Sus scrofa: one gene and its partner. The protein of the gene in region 2 interacts with the protein of the main gene of each other region in a pairwise test. Links are inferred from orthologs where the notes say so. Each region holds a gene or a part of one and is shown on either strand. Other genes may lie near its edges.

Region 1 (3,500 bases), about 1.3 Mb from region 2:
CAGGGGGCCACTGGCCTAAGGAACGGGCAACCTGTTCTACCTCTCTTTCCAAGAGTGAACAGAATAGGAGTTCCTGTCATGGCTCAGTGGTTCACGAATCTGACTAGGAGCCATGAGGTTGCAGCTTCGATCCCTGGCCTTGCTCAGTGGGTTAAGGATCTGCTGTTGTCATGAGCTGTGGTGTAGGTCGCAGACACGGCTCCGATCCCGTGTTGCTATGGCTGTGGTGTAGGCCGGCAGCTGCAGCTCCGATTAGACCCCTAGCCTGGGAACCTCCATATGCCACGGGAGCAGCCCTAGAAAAGGCAAAAAGACAAAAAAAAAAAAAAAAAGAGTGAACAGAGTATTCTCTGGGGCCCCATCCCCAGGTCATGCCGACCTCATCCTGTAACCTGGGCCTGGGGCTGCTTCAGCCACGTCTGGGACAGGGGCACAGTCTGCCCTGTATGAGCCTCTGCCTGCTTTTGTTTTATTTTATTTTTGCTTTTTAGGGCTGCACTTGCAGCATATGGAAGTTCCCAGGCTAGGGATCCAATCAGAGCTGCACCTGCCGATCTACACCACAGCCACAGCAACACAGGATTCGAGCCACGTCTGTAACCTGCACCACAGCTCAAGGCAGTGCCGGATCCTTAACCCGCTGAGCGAGGCCAGGGATCAAACCCGCATCCTCCTGGACATGAGTCCGGTTCACAGCCTGCTAAGCCACAGCAGGAACTCCCTTTTTTGCCTCTTTGTGCCTGCTTTTAGAAAGTGGCCCGATAGAGCTGGGAGTAGGCTGGGTGGGGGAGGAACAGCAACGATGACCGCCTTCCTCTAAGGATCAGGCCCAGCCAAGCCACTCGGGGAGGCTGGCCCTCGAAATAGACCAGAGGCTTAGGTGGGGGAGGGGAGAGGACTGAGACTTTGGGCCCAAGTGCCCTCTGGAAACCCAGGGATGGGCCTGAATAGAACAGCAAGATCAGGGCACCACTTGTGTCCTGACAAGTGCCAGTGTCCACCTGCCCCCGCCCCCCCACTCTACCTGTCACTTTCTCCCCACGCTCCCCCCTCCAGCTGGTGAACATCGGCTCCTCCTACAACTACGGCAGCGAGGACCAGGCAGAGTTCCTGTGCGTGGTGTCCAAGGAGCTCTACAGTTCCCCACACGGGCTGAGTTCCGAGTCCAGCCGCAAAACCAAGGTGAGCGGCCCCCACCCTTACCTCCCTCCCCTCACGCCCTCCACCCCCCGCCCCCTGCCCGGCCATCCCTGCTGCTTCGTTCTCCCTCCCGCTGCCCACGCATCCCCTTTCCCTCCCTCGGTCACAGTCAATGCCATCCATCCCATGCCACCCATGGTCCTGTCTGCTCACCCCAGTCACCCAGGCCCAGGCTAGGGGGGCAGGGAGATGGGTCATCCCCAGGGTGCAGTGAGAGTGGACTTAGATGCCACTTGAACAGCGGGCTGGCAGTGGCCATGGGGTGGTGCAGCACAGGGGGTGTGCCCTGAACTAGGGGGCTGGGCTCGAGCCCCCTGGGAGACCTTGGACGATTCCGACCCCCTCTGGACACCTTGGCTGGGCTCTCAGAGAAGTGAGAGGGAGGGACCACGTGCTCTCTGTGATGCTGTCCAGCTTGGAACTTCCGGGATTCGAAGAGAATGTATTTCCCAGGGGCCTGGGCCGTGGGGAGTCTGTTCATCCTGTCCCTCCCCCAGGCTCCTGCCCGGGCTCTGCCGAAGAGGGGTCAGGAGCCCTGGGGGCTCCAGATCTCTGTTTCTGGCCAGTGAGGGACATCGGCTGGCTCGGGGGAGGGGCTGAGCAGAGGTCCTGCCACCCTGGACCCAGAGCTGGTCAGAAGCCTCCAGGGCCCTATGGTAGGACCGGTGGAGCAGGCAGCAAGCCAGGCTGGGAAGAAGGGAGAACATTCCTTCCTTCTAGAAGCCTGTCCCTGTGTGGTGGAGATGTAGGAACTCCAGCTTCCCGTCTGTCTGCCTCCCTGTGCTGTGACCTCCCCTGCCCGCCTCGCCCCCATTGGGCTATGGCTGGCACGGCCTTGCAAGGGTGCAGGGTGAGCCTGCTGCTTCTGCTTCTCTGGGAGAGACCTCGGGACCCGGGGTGCCAGAGGCTGTGGCTGGCATCTCAGATGGGGCCGGTGGCTGCCCTGAGCCCTCCCTGGCCGCATGCCTACTCTGGGTCGGACCTCCTAAAATGAGGCCTTCCCAGGCACCCCTCAAGGACGCCGCACCCACTCATCCCCGCCTCTCTCCCGTGCCCCAGCCTTGCTCGCATCCCAGCAGCCAGGCTGATCTGCGAGCATCTTCAGCAGGACCCCACCCTCGGCTGGTTTCCCCAGACCCTTCCCAGGCGTCCCCCGGGGACCGGGACAAGATGCCCCAGCTTCTGTGGCCGTAGCGCTCCCCCTCCCCCGGAGGCCCCCCTTCGCCTTGCCCTGAGATGGGGGCCCGCGGGGACAGCCGCCAGCAGGCCCTGGCCCCCTGGTTAGTTCTGCGCTCTTTCTTCCCTGGGTCCGCCGGCTGGTTCACAGAGCGCGGAGGAGCCGCTGGAGGAGGAGCAGCAGCAGGAGGAGGAGGTGGAGGTGGAGGTGGCAGAGGTGCAGGTGGAGGCAGATACACAGGAGAAAGGTGCAGCCAACCCCCCAGGAGAATGATTGCTAATAAAAGCCGGAGCCTCCCGCCCGAGCTGGAGCCAGCTGCAGACCCGGGGCCCTGGGACGGCGGGGGGGGCGGCCCACCAGGGTTAGCGCAGCCCTGGCGCCTCTCCTGCATAACCATCCCTTCTCTCACTTTCTCTTTGCAGCCCAGTCATCTCAGGATCCCGCTAACCTTTTCTCCCTCCCACCACCGCCTCCTCCTCCTCCGCTTCCCGCTGGAGCTCCTGCCTCATCTTCATCCACCTCCTCTTCCTCCTGGATCTCATCTACACCCTGCCTCTTCCCTCTCTGCCCCTGTCCGGGCTTCCTCTCTGCCTGCTCGCGCCTCCATCCCGGGGCTGCCCTGGTCCCAGCCTCCTGCGCCCTCCACCCGGGCGCCCTGGCCCTGCATTCCAGAGCGTCCTGCCTGCCGCCTCCTGCTCCCCTGCTGGCACCTCCTGCCTCCAGGCCCGGGGAGGAGGGGTGCGGCTGTACCTCATCGGCGTCCGCCGGGCACGTCTGAGGCTGGTCCCCCTGCTCCGTGGCCGCCCTGTCCTCTCCTCCTCACCTTTCCTCCTTGCAGGTTCCCGTCCGCACGCCCTCAGACCTGAGGCTGCGCTTCTTGCAGCGAGGGCTCCTCCTGGGCCCCCTCCTGGGCCCCTCGCCCGCCCCCAGAGCTGCCTTTCCTGGTTTGTAGCTTTGGCAGAGCTGGAGGGAGGGGTGGAAGCCCGGACGGTGCTCATCTCCTGTTCCTTGGACTTGAGCTGAACTTCCGGCTGATTTTCTCCTCCTCTCACCAAAGTTTCTCGGCCTCTCTGGGCCTTGGGTATGAGGCTCTGAGACACGACCAAAGGGAGAGGAGATTCTT
Region 2 (4,274 bases):
TACCATCTCCAAACAAGATTTTTATCCTTACTTCATGAGTTTGTCATTACCAAGCTCATTTCAGTTTCTTTAAGTGTACTGCACACAACCTTCAAATATTATGAACATTTCTCTCTCCCAGCTGTCACTACACCAAACTACATATGTTATATTTCCCTAAATCATCTTGTTGTGCTCTTTGCAGCTCTTCCGTACAGTTGATGTCTCCATCTAACAAGTTGCTCAGAAGTTACTATAATTATTTTAGGTGAGGCCCAAAGTGAAAGCCTACCATCGACTATACAGTTCATCTCAAAAATTGACATTAATTTCTATTTAAGCAAGACCAGGCTGTGTTTCTGGAAAATAACAGATTTTGAAGAACTATGGCAGTTATTTGTTGGGTCTTTAAACAATCCACGTGGGGGGCAGAGGAAATGTCCTACAAAATGCCAACTGCTATTGTGGGAATTTTTGGCTATTTATTCCAGCAAAATATGATTCAGACACTGAATGAAAAGGGTCACCCTGTACTAGGTCTTGAACCCAAAGAACTGTTTGCACAGATAGTCATCCAAGATACATCACAGCCTCCACCTCAACAGATGCTCTTTCAAATGTTTCATGACTCTCTTCAACAGTCAGTCTCCATTTAAGGGGAGGAGGGTTGATGCTGCCAGAGACGGCTCTGCTGGCATGAAGGCTGGCCTAAAATTTCTATTTAAAAGCTGGACCAAAATATGTTTGGCTTCTGTTGTCTATTTAAAATTTCAAGTTAAAAGGAAGAAAAATTACTCTCCGTCCTGAATGGGCTTTGGGTGTCTCACTCACAGACTAGAGAATGGCAAACGGTAAGAGAGTCACGGAGAAGGGAGAGAAATTAGGAACGCTGAGATATTAGGAACAAACTATGAAGGCAGACATGAAAAACTTGGAATGAAAAGAAAAGCCTTAAGCAGGGGGAAAAGACCCCCATATTCGGCTCCTAACGGAGGATCTGGATTAAGGTAAGCATTCTGCACGTCATGAGTCACCACATCAGCCACCTCCCCTCAGCACCCCTCCCCCGCCTCACGGTCGTCCACCTCTTGCCCCCTTTCCAGCGGCCTCTCTTCATCTCAGAACACGCGCCACCCAAGGGCCTCCTTTCTCAGAGGATCCTGTCTTCACCTCAGCGTCCACCTCAGGAGCCCCCAATTTTGACCCATGTCCTGGGTGCCCCCACCTCAGAGTCCTCTCTTGACCTCAGCATCTCCCTCCGCTCTGGAGACGCCCCAGCCTCCCTTCCCACCAAAGCCCCTCTCCTCAGCACACACTCTCCCCCTCAGCGCCCCCTTCCTCATCCCAGCGCGCGACACGCCCCGGAGAGTCCGTTCGCCGCTCCCAGTACCTTCGCCTCCCCCGGACGCTCCTGCCGCCCCGCCCCCCGTCCTCTGCCCCGCCCAGATCCCCGCCCCTCCGTCCTGGCCCCGCCCACGCCAGGCGCGCGCCCAAACTAGTCGTTGGGCACCGAACCTCTTGGTCAACGGGGCTGCGAGGCGCCGCGTTCTGCTTCGGAGTCAGAATCCCTGAGGACTGGAAGGCCCGGGACGGGGGCGGAAGGGATTCATTCACCTTGAAAAGGGAGATTGTGGGTACGAGTCGGGTTTGTGGCAAAAGGGGAAGGTGGGTGAAGAATCTGAGGGGAAACTCAGGGGGTCCCTTCTTTAGTCATGCTTGGTGGTGGTTGGAGGCTCCACTTTGTGCGTCCCGCCCCCACCCCTGGGGGTATATCTCAGTGCCCTTGAGTGATTACCAGCATCCTTATTTTAAACCAAGTAGGACCTAAGTTGGGGAGGGGCCTCCTCAGACTCCTTATGAGGGAGTTAGGTGTTGGAAAAACGGGTGGCGGCAGGGGAGGCGACCTGGACCGCGCTTCCACGCCCGAAGCCGAGGCGACTGGGAGCCCTACTCTAGATCCAACTGCTCTCAACGTCCATTGCTATTTGAGAAAGATGAAGAGCAGCTTTTTTCAAGGCTAAAGAAAGGACAGTCAATGTGGAATTTGGGGGCAATCATATATATACATATATATAAGCAATCTGAGTGAGGGGCCGTATTCCAGAAAATTCCATTTACACCGTCTCCTCTTTTGCCTCGAATACTTTGCTGTTCAGAGGTACTAGGTGGTAACGACCATACCTCAACCTTAGTAATTTGTTCCCCTTCTGCTGGGCCCCAACCCCTGACTTCCGCGTTTTGTGAGAAAATGGAATAGACCAAGAAAAGTGATTACTTGGACTACGTTTTCTAATAAACAGGATCATGCTTTTTAGATTCCTGAGATCTTAAAACCGCTGCTCCAGTGTTAACTCAAAGATTGTTCATCTGCTTATTGGCCCTAATATTTTATCATATTATGATACTGAGTATTCACCATAATTTAAATCTTTACAAAAATCATGAAAGTAGTAAATACTATAGAACAAAATACATCCATTGTTTTATGAAAGAAAAATACACATGTTGCAAGAGAGCTCATTCATAATTCTCAAGCAGGAAGAGATGAAAAAATATCTATCTGTTGAAGAGAGACTAAGTTCTAGGTGCCGGGGAAGATATAGGAAGACTGACTTAAGGCCAAAGGTTTTTTTTTTGTTTGTTTGTTTGTTTTCTTTTTAGGGCCAAACCTGTGGCATAGATAAGTGCCCAGGCTAAAGGTCAAATTGGAGCTACAGCTGCCAGCCTATGCCACAACCACAGCAATGCCAGATCCTAGCCATGTCTGAGACCTACCTCGTAGCAACATTGGATCTTTAACCCACTGGGCAAGGCCGGGGATCGAACCCAAATCCTTATGGCTACTAGTTGGTTTTTTCACCCACCGAGCCACAACAGGAGATCCAGGCTAAAGTTCTTAGAGTGTTGTTAACATGAACATGAAAGAATAAAAATACGGAGTTCTAATATTCTAATTCTAATATTTCTACTGCCAATAACATTCCAAGACAACAAAGAGATATTATCAGTTATAATTGTGCTGTGGGAAATCAAAAGATGATACAAAGTGGCCAATTTTGAGGAAAGAGGAGAGAAACAATGTCCCTCCACCCTCACATATGCACACCCATTAAAAGAAATAATACCAGATGCCTAGCAGAAAGGATATAGGCTAGCCAGTCATTTCAAACTAAATGTTTTTCTATTTGTCCTTCTGGTCCTTAATAACTGAATTGAAATCAAGAAAGTCTATGGGCAAAGGGTTTTGTACTATGACTACTTCTTAATATTTTTTTATTTTCCCAAAATTGATTATTTTTTTGCTGTTCTCCTTTCAGTATGAAGGAGGATCAAGTTGTGCTGGAAGAACCAGGATTCCAAGATGAAGAAGTATGGCTAGAATGTTGAAAGACATGTAGACATTTAGTCATTCTACAAAAATGAAGTTCCTTCTCTGTTAACTACTATTTTTAGAAACAGATTAGCAATAAAACATAGTTCTGGAGAGAGGCAATATTACAAATATGTAACAACTTGTTTGGCAAGGGGTGCTAAGATTAGCTACTTAGCAGCTGGTGTGAAAGTATTTTAATAATTTAGCAATTGGTATGGCCATACTGGTTCCTATGCAAACTGGTAGTGAGGAGTAGAAGGAGTTCAAGGTCTGGTGGGGAAGACTGAGAAAACATATTTTAAAATAGATTAAATGTTGTTCCACTCTTTTGGGTTAAGGTCTTAAAAATTTGGAGAGGGCATAATAAAAGTATTGAGCTTCCCAGTGCTTTCAGTGTTAGCACTTCTATGTATGCAACAATGTGTTTGAAAAATCATTATTGAGCCTACCTCAGTCTGTCTAGAGAAGTGGAATTTGAAGCATCTTGGAGTGACTCATAATTCTGAATTAACTCTTAAAAATATTTGTGAAACGGTTGAATATGAAGAATAAAAACTTTTTTTTTTTCCCTGTTCCATCTTCGTTAGGAATCTTTGTTTCAAGACATCGACCTGTTACAAAAACATGGGATTGTAAGTATTTCTTCAGTGCTGTGTGAAATTGTCCATTTTAGGGTTTCTCAGCCTTGACTCTATTGGCATTTGGGACTTGACAGTTCTTTGTTGTGGGGGGGCTGCCTTGTGCATTGTAGGGTGTTTAGCACTCTGGCTCCTAACCACTCATGATATGCTAGTAGCAGCCTCATAGTTGTGACAACCCAAAAATTCTCCAAACATTGTCATGTCCCCAGGGAACAAAATTGTCCCCCGTTGAGAACTAGTGGTCCACTTGGAGGTGTTCAGAGCTATCAACTGTTTCCATC

What was found. The genes of interacting proteins can lie anywhere in the genome.
Region 1: the proteins of DMC1 (region 2) and KCTD17 interact in binary tests that used the Homo sapiens proteins (3 or more experiments, as listed by UniProt). The two-hybrid records come from large-scale screens. The link is inferred for Sus scrofa from reciprocal best matches to the Homo sapiens genes DMC1 and KCTD17.

The regions. Positions count from the first base shown.
Region 1 is NC_010447.5:10,708,967-10,712,466, reverse strand, and holds part of KCTD17 (BTB/POZ domain-containing protein KCTD17), read left to right. Parts: intron 1-1,056; coding exon 1,057-1,182; intron 1,183-2,527; coding exon 2,528-2,624; intron 2,625-2,799; coding exon 2,800-3,155; coding exon of another isoform or gene 3,156-3,321; 3' UTR 3,322-3,500. UniProt on the Homo sapiens protein: Substrate-adapter for CUL3-RING ubiquitin ligase complexes which mediates the ubiquitination and subsequent proteasomal degradation of TCHP, a protein involved in ciliogenesis down-regulation.
Region 2 is NC_010447.5:9,429,762-9,434,035, forward strand, and holds the start of DMC1 (meiotic recombination protein DMC1/LIM15 homolog), read left to right. Parts: upstream 1-1,474; 5' UTR 1,475-1,613; intron 1,614-3,296; 5' UTR 3,297-3,297; coding exon 3,298-3,348; intron 3,349-3,939; coding exon 3,940-3,984; intron 3,985-4,274. UniProt on the Homo sapiens protein: Participates in meiotic recombination, specifically in homologous strand assimilation, which is required for the resolution of meiotic double-strand breaks.